Arabidopsis thaliana: one gene and its partners. The protein of the gene in region 2 interacts with the protein of the main gene of each other region in a pairwise test. Each region holds a gene or a part of one and is shown on either strand. Other genes may lie near its edges.

Evidence for each region. The genes of interacting proteins can lie anywhere in the genome.
Region 1: the proteins of AT2G42490 (region 2) and BSK2 interact in a two-hybrid assay, tested with the Arabidopsis thaliana proteins (one large-scale study listed by BioGRID).
Region 3: the proteins of AT2G42490 (region 2) and AT4G00980 interact in a two-hybrid assay, tested with the Arabidopsis thaliana proteins (one large-scale study listed by BioGRID).

What each region holds. Positions count from the first base shown.
Region 1 is NC_003076.8:18,892,800-18,897,926, reverse strand, and holds BSK2 (BR-signaling kinase 2), read right to left. Parts: upstream 3,550-5,127; 5' UTR 3,241-3,549; coding exon 3,165-3,240; intron 2,936-3,164; coding exon 2,718-2,935; intron 2,360-2,717; coding exon 2,224-2,359; intron 2,128-2,223; coding exon 1,888-2,127; intron 1,803-1,887; coding exon 1,717-1,802; intron 1,605-1,716; coding exon 1,416-1,604; intron 1,331-1,415; coding exon 1,058-1,330; intron 981-1,057; coding exon 729-980; 3' UTR 521-728; downstream 1-520. Other genes in the region: AT5G46580 (pentatricopeptide (PPR) repeat-containing protein), read left to right, coding at 1-417. UniProt on the Arabidopsis thaliana protein: Probable serine/threonine kinase that acts as a positive regulator of brassinosteroid (BR) signaling downstream of the receptor kinase BRI1. Mediates signal transduction from BRI1 by functioning as substrate of BRI1.
Region 2 is NC_003071.7:17,690,857-17,697,751, forward strand, and holds AT2G42490 (Copper amine oxidase family protein), read right to left. Parts: upstream 5,168-6,895; 5' UTR 4,671-5,167; coding exon 4,466-4,670; intron 4,254-4,465; coding exon 4,144-4,253; intron 4,061-4,143; coding exon 3,755-4,060; intron 3,658-3,754; coding exon 3,545-3,657; intron 3,465-3,544; coding exon 3,134-3,464; intron 3,051-3,133; coding exon 2,835-3,050; intron 2,761-2,834; coding exon 2,524-2,760; intron 2,261-2,523; coding exon 2,075-2,260; intron 1,886-2,074; coding exon 1,745-1,885; intron 1,414-1,744; coding exon 1,145-1,413; intron 1,052-1,144; coding exon 970-1,051; intron 879-969; coding exon 744-878; 3' UTR 551-743; downstream 1-550.
Region 3 is NC_003075.7:421,958-426,178, forward strand, and holds AT4G00980 (zinc knuckle (CCHC-type) family protein), read right to left. Parts: upstream 2,632-4,221; 5' UTR 2,624-2,631; coding exon 2,300-2,623; intron 2,183-2,299; coding exon 2,092-2,182; intron 1,978-2,091; coding exon 1,887-1,977; intron 1,736-1,886; coding exon 775-1,735; 3' UTR 521-774; downstream 1-520.

The DNA of each region.
Region 1 (5,127 bases), on a different chromosome or scaffold from region 2:
TGTTTGATAGATATATGCAGAGGCAACAACCGGCATGAGAGAGCTCATGAGCTTCTCTACTTAGGAACACTTTTTGGTCTATACCCGGGACTACACAACAAGACCATAAAAGAATGGAGCCTAGATGTGAGGTCATTATCAGTTGGTGCAGCTGAGACCGCTCTCGAAGAGTGGATGAGAACACTTGCCAACATCATTAAACGCCAAGAGGAACTTCCTGAGCTGTTTTTGGCGCAAACTGGGACAGGAACTCACAGATTCTCACAGGGATTAGCAAACTCTTTCGCCTTGCATTTGCAACAACTCTCTGCACCATTTAGACAGAGCGATAGGCCAGGTATCTTTGTGGCTACAAAGGAGGATTTGGTGTCATGGTTGGAATCAAAGTTTCCACCTTTAGTTACTTCTCAAGCATGAAGTATCATCATCTGTTATCCTAAACTAAAAAGCAACATTATTTTTCCCAGTAAAGTTGTTTATAATTGTAATAGCATATTGAATTTTCCATCTTTTTGTATTACCATAAGGAAGAAGGAATCAAATTAGTTATTTGCAGTCTTATTCTCTCTTTCCCCAAAAGATTTGACTTTTCATAAAGATTCATGCAAAAAAAGAAGCTCTCATTTCACAAAAGTAAACAACACATTCCATCTCTCTCTTACATGCATACACACCTTTCAGTTACAGTCTGAAAAGACCCATAAATATTTGGGACTTCCTCTAATAGCTTAGCAGCGCCAGCTATTCTGTCGCTTAGCATCATATGCAGCGCCATCGTTGAGCATATCTTGAGCATCAGTCTCCATTCCGAGCTTTGAGAGCGCTAAAGCCTGCAAGTAAAAAGCTGTTGGCCATTCTGGTATGCACACCTGTGCCTGCATTGCATCTCTCAGTGCAAGCTCCTGTTGGTCTGTCATTAAGTAGGAGAAAGCCCGTCTAGCGAAAACTGTTGCAGAAGGAACCGGCATCATCCCCACCAACTGGAAACCATAGATACAGAGGTTAGAAATTCTTTTCGAACACCGAGAATTATGGATTTGTTGCTATTTCCTCTCACCTTGGAGTAGTATTCAATTGAGTTCTTGAAATCCTTGTCTCTGAAAGCAATGTCCCCGAACTTTTTTGTGTTAAGCATCTCCTGCACTTGTTGTGTCCATTCTTGAAATGAAAGCTCATTTTCTGCACCTTCTTCATCTCTGTAACCGGTTTTAAGCAAAATGTCGTGAAATGTCGCAAGGTCCATCTTTGCACAGGCCTTTCCAAGAGGAGAAAGCATAGTTGGTAATATTACTGTGTTCTTTGGTAAGCCCATTAAGACATGAGAAGCAACCTAAGCAACAAAATCAAATCCAGGATAAACAAATTTGGATATGAAATTCATGATATGGTCGGTTTCAGGAGGGATTCTTTTAAACCTCTTCTTGCTTTTGTAGTGGTGCTACTGCAGAGAGAAGAAATTTGGTATCTGGTCGATCCTTTGCCTCTGATTGAAGGCATTTTGAAGCAAGATCAACTAATTTAGTCGCATCATCATTCGCATATTGCCCTTCAAGAGATGAATCCATAAGAAGCAAAGCATTTTTCCCTCTTATGATATCAAGGGCCTGATATGAAACATCACCACCAATTCAGATAAGAAGACCACAAATAAAATCCTCGGCAATTGACAAAAAAGTAAGATAAAATGAAGGAAATTAGAACATTGGAAGCACATACATGGCTAGGTGGAATGTGTTTGCCGCTTAAAAGATCTAAAAGAATAGTTCCATAACTGAATATCACACTTTCAGGAATGACTCTACCTGCAAAAGAAAAACCAGAGAACTTTAATCTTCAATAATGAATTGGTTTGTCTTCGACTACGATTCACAAGATCAAGAATTTTACCTGTCCGTAAAAACTCAGGTGGAGTATAAGCTAAGTTTGTGCTATAGCTTTTGCCATCTCTACTGTTCTTCATAAGACCAAAAGTAGATAGACGAGGATCACCTTCCTCGTCGAAGAGGATTCTGTATGCATTGAGGTCATGATAGATTTTTCGGTTCTCAATATTGCAGTAATCAAGTGCTTCTGCAATATAGTCTGCGATTCGAACACGCATATCCCATGGAAGTGGCTGCTTTTCCCCTGCAAACAATGCAAACAAACACAGAAAGAAGAGAGTAAATCATCTAAAGAAGACTTTAAACCAAGCTTATAACGAGAGAAAGATAAGACTATTACAGTGGAAGAGATGCTTTGAGAGAGTATCATTGGGCATATACTCTGCCACCAACAACCTCTCATCTCCTTCAGCACAGCAACCGATCAAACTAACTATTCTCTTGTTTCTAAGCTTCCCAACACCAGTCGCTTCCACCTGATTTCACAAGTCAAACAAGGTCAACACCAGGACAAAGCTCCTATTTAAAAGCAGTCAAGATATACAGTCAAGACATTAGTCGTATCCTAAGATTTAAAAGCAGCTTTAAACCCGAAGTTATCGACTTTTCTACAATTCAGTGGTAACCAAACTCAGGGACGCTTATTCTTTTATCGAAAAATGATGCCTTGTTCTTCTTCTGTAACTAAAAACTACACCTAAATCACCATTCCTTGGACTAGTCATTGATGCGGTTTGCCTAAGAGATAGTCCAACAGAATCACCCAGGGTCTAAAATCAGACAATGAATCAATGAACAACAAATCATGCATTGACCTTTTCTCAGATATCTTACCACAAACTGTTGAGCATCAGGCCAAGATTGCCTAGAGAATCGCTTGATAGCTACAAGATGATTCCCTTCAAGCTTCCCTCTGTAAACGACATTAGGAGCTTTCTCTCCACCTTCAGAGACAATGCAGCTAGGACTAAACCCATTGGTAGCTTTCCTCAACTCATTTAGTTCAAATTCTTTGAAATTTTGGATTTCCTGATCCACTTGGTCCCCATTTACTGTAACCACATAACAAAACATACCCCGAAAAGGCAAATCAATCTAAACAAGAGTTTAATTCCAAAAAGGAAGAGACTTTATAACTTTTTCTCTGCTTTAAGCCTTTCACAAACCCTAACCCCACAAATTAAAGCAAACCCATAACAAGAACAGACGAAAAACTGCAGATTTACTAAGTGAGCAAACAAAATGTGAGTTTTTTAGAATCTAAGAGATTAGTATTATTACCTGATTCTGGTTTGTTTGGAGCTGATGGATCATCAGAAGAAGGAAGATTAGCAGTTTTGGAATGTAAACAACCCATTTGTCTCACATCCAATCAAAATATTGTTCTCCACAAAGATCAGAAATTTGGATAAGAAACAGAGATTTTTGTTGTGTCTAGTGTTCTTGGATTGAGGTAATAAAACAATGGTGGGATTTGATTTGGGGCTTGGATTTGTGCTTTGTGAGAGAAGCTGAGGAGGCAGTAGAATATAAAAATTTAATAAAATTTGAAAACTTAAAGACAAAAAGAAGTAGCTAGAGAGAGAGTGAAAGATCTGAAAAATATAGCTTCAAAAAGCTGCAGACTTGAAAAAATAGAGGTAAGAAAAAAACAATAGAGTCATGTGAAGCAAAAGATCTTTAAATTTTTCTGCTCTAGATTTTGCTTGCAAATACTTTTTTTCCTCGGTACTATACACGAAATTTTAAATTTGGGTTTCAGTTTTTAGCTGTGAAATGTAGAAGTTTTTACTACATTAGAAGAGAGACTTTCATATGAATTATCCAAAAGTATAAGTTTTGTATCCAGGTAAAGATAGATATTTTTTCTTTAATTTTGCAACTTTCTCTTAATGTTTATATCTTAGATTAACTTAAATAAAAAGATGATAATTTTTTTTTTGGCCTTAAGAAATTATTTAGGTATATCTTAGATTCTAAAGTCAATAATAATAGTGTTAAGATTTGGTAATAATTTACAAGATGACAGTTTATTTTGCAAAGTTAATAAGAAGGAGTGTTAATACAATAAAATATCAATTAAGAAAAAAAATAGTTAAAAAATATATTAAAACAGATATAATTATTTACAGTTCAATAAACATGTTAAATAGCTTACATCAATTTTGTGTTTACTATTGTCTAATCTTATCTCAAACACTCGTTGGTGACATAATTGAAGGTACAAATTTGTACCCTGCTATTAAAAACTAAAAATCAAAGTCAACAACACAATAACAATAATAGTGAAAATAATTGCTACATGATCTGCTCTCTTATTCGCCTTTTACTATGTAAAAAAAGTATTTACACTCGATTGAGCATTATTGATATATGAGATAAAATGTCAAGACGATTAGGTTTGTGTCATTCATTCTTGTTAAATTTTTTATTTTTGAAATATTGCGTTTTTTGCTTATTAACTTTTGACGACTTCTAGCCTATGACAATTTGTTTTAAAAAATTGTTGGACAAAGAAAATAGGTCACATCACATGACAAGTCTATCATGGGGCACGTGCCTCGACCTTCTTGGGTCCTGAATTTTACCGAAGATAGAAAGTAACTATTCCTCTTTCCATCAATTTTATTAAAAATTAAGGGTCTTTTTAAAAAGCTAATTAAAATTTAGAAGTCTACCACCAACATAATCGGTATTTATTTTAGTATAAGTACAAAATGAATAAGTACCGTTATTACATGATTCTTTTCACACAAAAAGTCTTCGGTTTATTATATATCAACCCCTTCACCGACAAAGTTAATAACGAATAGAGATTTCGAGATTTTAATACTACACAGATCCTTAAATGATAGTACTTGGACCGAATCATCCACTAATCATATGAGAATTTCTACAAAAGAAAGGGGGATAAAGCAAACAATTTTCGATATTATTATTCTGGATTTTCTATTCCAAATATCACAGCTACACAAAAATCCTTTTTTTAATATAACTATTTTAGTTGATGCAATGCAAATACATGAACTAATTTTTTGCTAAAAGAAAAAACTAATTTATTTTCATACAAAAGGAAAATAGTTGTACAATTTCTTTTTTGTATATTCTATATATTTCAACTTGGCCCCTTATTTTCATTGAAATTAAAATTTTAATTCCTTCACACTTTTTTAATTCTTTTATCTTAATTATAATCCTGTTTCTCAAAAAGTTCATAGTAGCGTTGTGGTTCAATATGTATTTT
Region 2 (6,895 bases):
TGCAACAGGTAACTCCAGTGTTTTTCTTTGGGTTTTAGCTAAGATTTTTAGGCTATATGAATTGCATTTGGTTTGGACTATATGTTATCTGTGTGGAATCGAATCAAAATTATCAATCTGGTTCGTCGGAGTTGGATCAATTGTGGAAGTGACAATTGCTAGTTTGTCGTTTGTGTTTTTAATTTCGGTTCGATTTACATGGTTTTGAAAAATTCAATTGATTTCGGTTGGGTTTGAATTGGAATTAAAGGAGAAAAACACTGAAATCACGCACTCGAGGCTTTTTTAAAAAAGAGCGAGTGTGTTTCAAAACAAGCCATTTGGTGGGTTAGAACCCTCAGAAAACGTAGACACGCCCTCAACACGCGATTAGTGAGAGTGGGTGTGAAATCACGTAAAAGGTGAGAATGGGGTATGACATGGAGCGCTCTGATTGGCTTATAAAATGAAAATAGTAGAGATGTTGCTCCTCTCTTCCAATGTTTATATTTATTTGCTTCTCTTTTCCAAAGTATGAAACTAATGCAATTCATAGAAGAACACACACACCAAACACGAAAATAAAAGATTCAAATATGAAATTTTAATAGAAATATTCCAATGACAAAGGTCTTTTTAGTCTTGCAAACACACACACCAAACACGAAAATAAAAGATTCAAATATGAAATTGTTCTTAACCAACAGCAACGCCTCCAATTTTTTAAGAGATCAAAGAAAGAAAACAAATGATATTCATATTCTTCAAAGCTTTGAAAGTAAACCAGTCTGAAGAGCTTTCGGTGCTACAACCTCTTTGACTTCACTCTCCTTAGTCTCCAATTCGCATGGATTCGGTGGCACATCTACTGCCGGTGAGCAGTTGAAAAATCCATGTGGCTGTATTTTACCCAAAACCCAAAACATTTTTTAACCAATCCTTTGTAAGGTTTTTTTTCCATTGAAAGTTACAGTCAAAGATTTAACTTACCATTAGTGTGAAACCAATATGTTCGACGGGCATAACCGGCCAATCTTCAAGTCTAGGAACATGTGTGATCCCAAACACGTACCTGGTGACAAATGAAAATTCCACATTGAAAGTCACATAATTTGGTAAGTAGTAGTTTTTAACTGAATCAGATAAGTAAAACAAGGATACAGACCAAAGAACGACGTCAGATTCTTCCAAGGAGCGATTCTGTTTCACCCATGTGGCAAGACCTTCACCAGCCCGTGGGTTTTGGTTTGGGAATTCTCCTCCAGGAAACTTCTCGTCTGGGGCGTAACGGGTAACCCAGAGATTATGCTTCAGGAAAGCGGCTCTTCTTAGAAACTTCGCCTCGGGTCGAGCTAATGGCAAACAATTTGAACCCGGAACAAGTTTGTATCCCGTTAATTGGCCCGTCCTGTTTACAGTCCTTGTGTTCCTTACCTGATAACACATTACAATGATTTGTGTTGAATATACATCTTGCGTGAGTATACCATCTATACTTCAGCTACAAATCATATTCAATGAAACTCTGAGATGATTTTTTGGTAAAGGAACTCAAGTATGAGACTATATAAACACATGACTGAAACTTAGGGATGCTCAGGTGATCTCTTATCCCAAATCCAGTCTCAAGGATGAGACTAGTAGATAGTCAAGGATGAAAGAAATATAAACAAGGATATTACAGAGACGGGTACGAGCACTGACAATGTGAAAGTTAAACATGCAATAAATGGACGAGAACATGCAAGGTACGGTTTTTGCTTACAATCCAATGGCGAGCAGAAAGAGGGTCACAGTCACGCATCGCCACTGCCTCAGATTTAAGTAACTTCTCTTCCGCATAAAACGCATTGTTGTGGACATTGTTCTCACCTCGCTCGTCAACTCTAACATTTACCTCAACTACCTACAGATAAAAGTGGATTAAGCTGACTATTGAGCAAAACCAGCTGACAACATGTATCTAAGATTTTTTTTCAAGAACTATAGGGACTTCTAAAATTCATATGCTACCAATGCCATTCCTAAATACTGAGAAAATAATCCGCATATGTAAGTAAATAACAAGAAGAAGAGCAGCATCATAAAAAGGTACCTGATTAAAAGCTTCAGCAGGTTTACAGTCAACAGACATATCCATGCGAGCGATAAAGAAATGTTGATGGACTGGTGCATACAACCCAGGAGCAATAGTAGTACCGTACTTTCGAGTTTCACCTGGCTGCAGAGCTCCTAAACTGAGGATACCAGTAAGTTTTACTTCAGCTTCGATTTTCCCATCCTACAGTAAGACATTCAAGACATAAAATGATATTGGTCTTCAAATATCTAGAAAGATGAAACTACAAATCAGAAAACAAATGAAACTCGGATTCAGCACTGTAAATCAATGTCCTCAAGTGAAAAATCACAAGCAAAGTGCCACTAAACTCAGGATTTATTCTCATGCGGAGACACATCATTTGTCTTCCCTATAGAAATTAGATGCAAATATGACTAATATCTGCTTTACTCAAGAAATGAAGAATCACGTATTCCACTAACCTGGTAGAAGTGCCAGTAAAACCCATACTCGTAGTTGGCAACAGTACATAGAAAAGAGACAGTTAGTCTCCTAGATCTTCGCACTTCGGCTAATCCTGTTCTCCAGTCCTGATGTTTCCACAAAATCCCATGATCTTCTTCATGCAAGCAAACACAGTTCTCAATTGTTTCAACTCCTCCAGTGAAATTTGTGAAATGGGCATCGAAGTACTTGATAGATCCCAGACAGTCACACCCCTATAAAAACCGATTGTTAAACACAAACTGAGATCTGAGTGGTAAGAACACCAAAAAAAAAACTGATGTCAAACCTTCTTAAGCGAATGTGCGTTTTTCCCGAGACCATCCTCCCCTGCATCAAAAGCATTTTTCCTGTAATGTGGCTCATTAGGATCGCCATAAGGCACAACCATTTCCACAAAACTTAGCCTGTGTGCAACAGGCCTTCGACCTCGACTGCCATCAACATATGCTACCGAATGTATGACTAAACCTTCCCTTGGAGTGAATCCAATACGAAAGTTCCACTGTAAACAAAATGTTGAGCCAATTTAGAAATAAGCTTAAGCATAATCACTTGGTTTCAAGTAGGCTATTACTGGAAATCTACCTTCTGCCACTCGACAAAGTAACCCCTTACACGAAAACTTGGACCTTCAGGCTGAATAATCTGGAGAGGCTTAACATCACTTCTATCAACACCCCCTCTACTTTCACCTGGGGTATAATTCCTCAAAGGGTCAGGTGGGGGGAGTGGCACAAACTTACGGTCTTCAAATTCAATCACCACCATGTTTTGCATGTCTACAAGTACATAAATGCCCTCAACTGGACGAGCATATCCATTTTCCATAGGGGAATCACTATCAGTCCGACAGTATATAAGGGGCTTTGCAAGCCTACGACTAGGAGCGTCAGCCTCACTGTGATAACCCACACACCTGCACAATACATTAAGAGGTAGGCTCAGAGAAGAAGTACACCTTAATTGTCAACAGAAACGATGATGTTGTTAACATACCAGGGATCAACCATCACTAGATCCATGTCTTCAATACCTCTCCTCTTCATTGCCTCTATGAATGGTGGGAAGTCTTTGACAATCGCTTCACATTCAGCATATTCAGCCGCATCCTAAAATCAAAAGAATCTAAACTTAGAGACTGGCAAACAACGGTAGCATCTAAAAGTCACTTAGAGATCCAATTCCTTAAAACATAGTTTAACATACCATGGGTGGCTGAACATCAGGTATAACTTGTGAGGAAACAACTCTTCCCCTGTGATGTCCACCCCGAGTGACAGCATGAACTTCAGACAATGCCACAATCCATACACTTGTCTCATTAGACTTTTGGTTGTAAACAACAAGTCTAGCTCGCCTTGGAGGGAGCTTCATCGGAATCACAGGTCCAGATTTAGTTCTTGGAAGTAGTGATGGCTGGAACGGTGGGAAAAAGTAAGCATCAGCGAGCGCCACAACTTGTTTATCTGGTTCCACTGATGCCACCTCAATGAAACGCATGCCATCCCTAACCTGCCAAAGAAAAAGTAAAACAGTTTCAGTGACAATGTTATCAAGCATTCTGCATTTGTCAAGAATCAAGTAAGTTTGCGCACCTCAGGATTGGCACCAGCTGCGCGAACAGTCGCCACAGCAACTGATATTTCTGCAGCAGAAAGAGGATCCAATGGGTGCTTGGTTTCAGTCCTTGGCATCACAGAAATCCCTGCATTGGTGATCACAACAGAAAATCAACTTCACAGAAACCACAATAGTGATCACAATTAGATCTCAATCAGAAGCCATCAAGTAGACAAGAACCAATTTCACAAAAAGTAACCATCATCAACAAATTCCAGTAAACAAGAAGTCAAGTAATTCAAACGAATCGCGAGCTAACATCAGAAGAATGAAGGACGATCAACGATCAAATCAAACCTTTGTTGGCAGGTTTCTTGGCAGTATTATCAGGAAACGAATCGACAGGGCGGATAACGGATTCCAAAGAAACTTTAGAGGCTCGCTGATCGTCAGCGTCGGACCATACAGCAACGGTATCGGGAGCAGCGGAGACGAGTTTGGGAGGCGGAAGAGAGCCACCGTGGTGAGGACATGCCGACGTCTTTTTCGAAGCTGAGGCCATTGAATAGGGTTCACAAGTTCTCCAAATCCACCAAAATCAGTTTCAACACAATCCACTGACATACAGCAAAACCTATCACTATCCGTCGCTTGATCTTCCCCCTTCTCTCCACTTCTAGAAGCTCCAAGAAGAAGAAGAAGAAGAAGATTCCGATCTCCGATGATGACACAAAAATCCACAGCTACTACTACTAGTACAGTCTTCTCTCTCTCGACTTGAGCTCCGTCACAAGAAGTTGGATTCGTCACCGGATCTTGAGTTCTCCGTGATCGTATAATCGCTCTTCAATTTGTTTGTTTTTTTAAAGAGTTTGATTTTTGTTGGAGAGTCCAAGCAGAAGCGGCCAAAGCCTTATTTGTGGGCTCTCCTACTTTTTAACAAGTACCTATTTATATTTTTTTTTAAAGGTCTAATTATTTGTTTTAGAAAGAAATCCAACTTGGATAACGACGTGGATGCACTATTGTTCATGAGTTTCTCAATTTGTAATTTACTATTTGGAAATATATATTATATGTGTCTAATTAGAGTCAAACATATTTTCCATTTGAATTTTTTAAGTACTAAATATATAAAACTGGAAATTAAAATATAGGTAAGGAAAATATTGGAAGTTCTTATCTAAGGAGTTTTAACAAAGGTAAAGTATATAGGATGATGGAAATAGAAAAATATGACAATTGACAGACTACATAAGGTTATATGTCACTATCCGAAAATTTATTTCAAAATAAAAAAATTGGGAAAAAATTAACCAAAAAAAAATGAAACATATATGTTTTGTTAAATAAGTTTGACGTGTTTCACCAAAATTCTACACGCATAATTATTATTCTTATCAGGTTTATGCTGTTATTGGACACTACATTGTTTTAAGAAGTAAGCAGAATGGAACATAGCCAAAAAAAAAACATGAATACAACCAAAATAGTCTTATTAACTTGAGTTTGAGGTGTTTCACCAAAACTTGGAGACAATTGATATGATATATACTTTTAGAGCAGTATATTAATTATTAGATCCTGACAGATATTATAGAAAATATGTATGAAAACAAAAAAAAACGAATTGGTGTCGTTTATGTTTTATCACATAAAAATCACAAGAAGCTTATAAAATTACAAAAGTTACTAATCAAAGTGTTTTGATATGTTATGGTTTTAAGATTGTAAAATACAAATATAGTGCATGATATATAAATATATGTATATAGTTGTAATAATTAGATCGTGGAGTGGACCGCATAATCCATGCAATATCGACCACCAAAGAACCGCTGTCTACAACTAGTGGTATTACGAGGCTCACATTATTTATGAAATTCACGAAATTAAAAACTCTTCATTCGTCCATGACTCCATAATCTAGTTTAGCCTTACATAGTCCATGACTCCATATTCTGTCATCACAGTTTATATATTATTGTCTTCGGTGCGAAAACACGTCATGTTAACGTAGACTATTGAATTACACTTTGTTTTCTAGTCTTTGGTTTGTTTTGTTTCTTGTGAAACCTTCAATAGTAGGCAAAACGTTTAGAATTCCAATATAAACTGTTCTCTTTTGATGAATGAATACATAAGATTTTGGTCTATCACATTGTTCTCAACTATATTGTTCATTGTTTTTTTATGTTTTTTGGCTAAGAACTATATTGTTCTTTGTTGTTAAGCAAATGTATTACTTATCTTATTATTTCTTAGATATCTTTTGTCATTACTATGGATTTGCCTTTGTATGCCTTGTTGCGTTTGGTAAAGATCAAACTCATACTCTCTGGTTTTGTTCAGTTACTGATAGAAACAAGCACCAATTCTTGATTGACCAAAGAAAAGTCCCGAGAAAGTAGAATGTGTTCCCTTTACAACAACCTTTAACCTTCTACTTCCCACAGCTACTTTGTATTTAGACTGGATTACGACTCTATACATTAAAACACTTGTCTATCCAGCTCAGCACCAACTCAGGAGCTTTCTCATTGAGCTCTTCATTTAGAGGTCTATCAATTTGCTCCTTCCAGTCTGCACTGAGTCTCAATGTTGTTCTTTATTTATCTCATTCTCAATGCAATAGCCATGAGTACAACAAAGCCTTCAATGCCGTTAGATTGCAAGTCAAGAGAAGGTTCACAGTCGAACATTTTGAGTGGCTGATCTGATGCGTTCAGCGACTATTGTTATTATATCAAGCTTTGAAGAACAAATAAACATAACAATTTCAAGGTT
Region 3 (4,221 bases), on a different chromosome or scaffold from region 2:
ATATGGATACAAAGCATCAATGGTCACGACCTTACTTGAACTATAGGCTCGTACATCTGTTTTCTTGAGAAAATTTCTCAAGAGACAGGCCCTAAACCCTTGTTGATGAACCGTGACCGTGCGGCTTGAGCGTGATTGACGGCTACGATTGTCCTTGGATGCATCCGGTGCTGTAGAGGATGGTTACTCGGCTCGGTTCTCCCTTGCCGGGGTGGTCGCACGGCGGTCTGACAGGTTTCATTTTTTTTCCTTTTCACCCTGAAACTTTTAATTTCTTCTATTTTTCACCCGCTAATTTTATATTACTCTCCATCTGGTCCTTTTTAAAATTTCGACGTTCAAGTTTAATTTTAGAGGCTGAGAATATCTTCCATAACGCTTGGGACAAAGAAACTCTTAATTTTTGGTTGTGTGTTAAGTATTGTCACCTCAATTGATGTCAGTTTATTTGTTTGTATATCAGTTTTGAGGTTTCTGTTTTTATTTTGGTTCCTCAAAATAGGATTTAAAAAGCAATTTTGACAAAAAAATTATCATTCATAAAAGTATACTTTTACATTAAATCAGGCCAAAACTGATCTATTGGTCATCTCTCTGTTCTTCTTTTATACATTTCAGTGTCATAAATCTAATAGGCCAGACATATGGACAAGCTGAAAAAAGGTCATAAAAGGACTGCTTCTGAATCCTGAATCAACGGTATTCAAAAGACTTACCTCTTTAAGTATATCTGTGAAGAGATATAAACATTTTGGCTTCAGCAATCATCAACTACTACCCCCTATCATTGTTTGTTGTTGCTTGAGTCTCTGATTCCACAGGTGCAGCGACTGAGGAGTTGATCCGGTTTGATTTTCCGGAAGCTCTCTCATCAGATTTACTACCCCAGCAATGCTTTGCGAGATGTCCTTTCCTCCCACAGTTGTCACAGACGATGATGACTCTCTCGTCTCTCTCAGGTTCTTTCCTCTTCCAACCTACGCTCTGAGATCCTCTATGTGTTGTTCCTAGACTCGGTGTCCTTTCCATCTGAGAGGAGCCTGTGGCTGGTCTATATGTAACCCCTTTTGCTCCATTTCTGAGAAGCTCTTCCTCAGCTTTTACTCGTTCCATCAACATCCAGACTGGTAAATACTCCTCTTCCATTAACCTGGTGCAGAAGCCTCTCCAAGACGGGGGAAACTTGGAGATGATGGTACTCACATGAAATGCCTCATCAAGAAACATACCAGCACTCACTATGGAATCCGCAATCTTGTTAAAGACTTGGACTTGCTCGAGTATCGGTCTCTCTTCCACCATTCTGAATTCAATGTACTTTCTGACTTGTGACCTCTTCGATTTGGATTCATCACACTGGTAGACCCATTTTAACTCGTCCCACAATTCTTTGGCATGCTTAAATTTCTGAGAGTATCGACGGTATAGATGATCTGACAAGGAGTTCATCAAGTGAGTATAGCACAGGTAATCATCTCTCAACCATTTTTTCCCCGTAGCATCAGCTCGAGTTATTTCCCTGGGGTTGGTTTCAGGGCCTTGAGAGCTACCAATACTGGGACAAGGTTCAGAGAGTACATAAGTCAGCTTCAATTGCTTCAGAAAGAGTTCCATCTGTGAAGCCCAGTAAAGATAACTCTTTCCATCAAATCGTGAAATCTTGATAACAGAAAAACCGTGAGAGCTGTCCTTATCCACAGCCTCAGAAGTATCTCCATTTCGTGCTGCTTCAGATCTGCATAACGTTTAATAGCAAGATAAGCAGCCTACATTGCTAGCCAGACAGTAATGCCCTATGCCACGATGATTATATGACCATAAAACACTAAAAGCAATGCCAGGGAACATGAATCTTTATAGACTTAAAATAAGGTACACATTCTTACTTTAGTTTTGATTGGCACTGCTTAATACCGTCCTCTATCGCTGCAAAATTCTTCTTGATTACAGACCATTGGTTAGTTGACAAATGTGCTCCTGACAGAGAAGAAACATCTAACAATTGAAATCAACAGGAGCATATCTAAAACAAAAATGGCTACTTATAGCTTCATAGTCAAGACCAAGACACCAAGTTGTGTTTCAAATTACCTCTAAAAGCCTTTCCATGTTCCTGAGAACCAATCGATAGAAAAGGTTGGCCTCTGTATCTTTGAACCGTCGCATTTTGCTTCTCCGATAACTACAGTTAAAGACCAACAATTTCTACAGTGACCACTGAAAAACTCAAAATCGAGATGATCACAATCTCTACTCTATACAGTGAATCAAACATAGAACAAATAGGCAAAGTCGCAACCTTACAAATAAAGCGCTCATCTTCACCACCAACGGAAGCGGCAGCAACAGAAACTGTCTCATTTTTCGCCGGAGCCACCGTCTCCGGTACGAGTGCTTCACCGGGAGTCGATAGCAAAAAGACCTCAAGAACATCTCTGACTAGCTTCTTGTGATTGGTTCCCGATAAGTCGATACCGAGTTTAGCCGAAGCGTCAAGTCGGAGTTTGAACTCCGTCATTTGGTCCATATCAGATTCACTGAGTATGCTCTTCACTGTTTCCTCGATTTTTTGTGTAGCGACAATCTCCATAGTTTCACCAGAATCAAGCAACGAATTCTCCATTTCGCCCGAAAAAGAAGAAAAAAAAGGATAAAGAAAAAGATTTCGCAGTAGCGTCGAGTTTTGGTTGTTGGCCGGCGTTATATTTAGGGTTCATAAATCGCCGGGGGAAAAAATTTGGCCGGAGTGTGAAAAAAAGAGGTTCTACCGAGAATTGAACTCGGGTTACTGGATTCAGAGTCCAATGTCCTAACCGCTAGACCATAGAACCTTTTTGCTATAGCTGTTGCATTTAATACTTTATATATGCAAATATATATATATGAGTTTTTTTTCCTTATCTATATATCTTTTCTGTTTTATAATACGATATATGAATACATGGGTGAGATACGAATACGATTGAGAAATATATGGGTGAAATACAGTTTTTCTTCACGAAGCCGATAAGATACTAAGAGTCGAATCCTTCTAGAAACTAAACCGACAGAAAGCAAATTATTTTTGAAAATTAAGCTCAAACAAAAGAGGCTAAATATAAAGATAGCAAGGTAATAGTCATTAACATTTGTTGTGAATAATCTAGTTTGGGCTAATGTTAATCTTGTTTTACTTGTCTTCTCACTGCATTGCAGCTTAAGAAATTAGTATTGCATGCTGCGAGCTCAGACTCAGCCAGAGGGCTAACCCAACAGATTTTGATGCCTAAAACATCTTTAAGCTCATTTAAAATTCTTAAGCATTTTAAATCTATTTATAATTAAAGTCTCAAAAAAACGAAGGTAAGGTTCGAACTGTCCACGAAAGAGTCACTAATCTATGAAACAATCACTAGACTACGAAACATTTTTAAAATTTGATGCCCTTTAATATTATCTATAATTTTAGGCGCGTAAAGCATGAGTTTCACCAACTTTAGCCCAGGGCCGGCCCTGCTCAGCCATAAGAGAAGCAAAAGATGTAATGCAAAACTCCAATACGCAGTAATGATAACAAAAAAAAGTTTGTTCGTTAAAGCTTATCAATGCTTACAAAACATCAAAACCAACTTGACATGTGATGGCAGTAACAAAATCGAGAAGGCGATGCTAAAAGTAACTTCATAAACTAGATTGATCAAAAGTACTCATAGCTTCGGAATCAACATAAGACACCAAATATGTTCAAGTCACCTTTAAAAGCAAGTTAATAGCCAACAAACAATGTGCATTTCACATTTCGCTTCTCCAATAACTAATGCCTAACAATTTACAGAAAACATCACTTCTTTCCTCGACAATCCATTGTATTATTTTCGTGAAATGTCATCATAGAAGAAGCACTTAAAATGAAAATTGGGTTGGCCCATGAATTTGAATTCTCTAACCCAAGACCAAAACCCATAAAAGTTATTTACGACCATCGAACCACTTTTTTTTTTTTTTTTTTAACGGCAAACATTTTTCTATTAATTAGCCCAAATGGGCTTCATAAACAGGTACAACTTGAGGCCAAAAGCCCACTAATTGCAAACATTAAATAGACAATATGATGACACATGTATGCAATGTGGAGATTGCAGCGTAGATCAACGTTTCAGCACATGCCCCGTCACTGCTTCGCCGGAGAAATCTTCCGCCGGTCAGCAAATGATTCAGCTCCTCCATGAAACTTTCTACCCA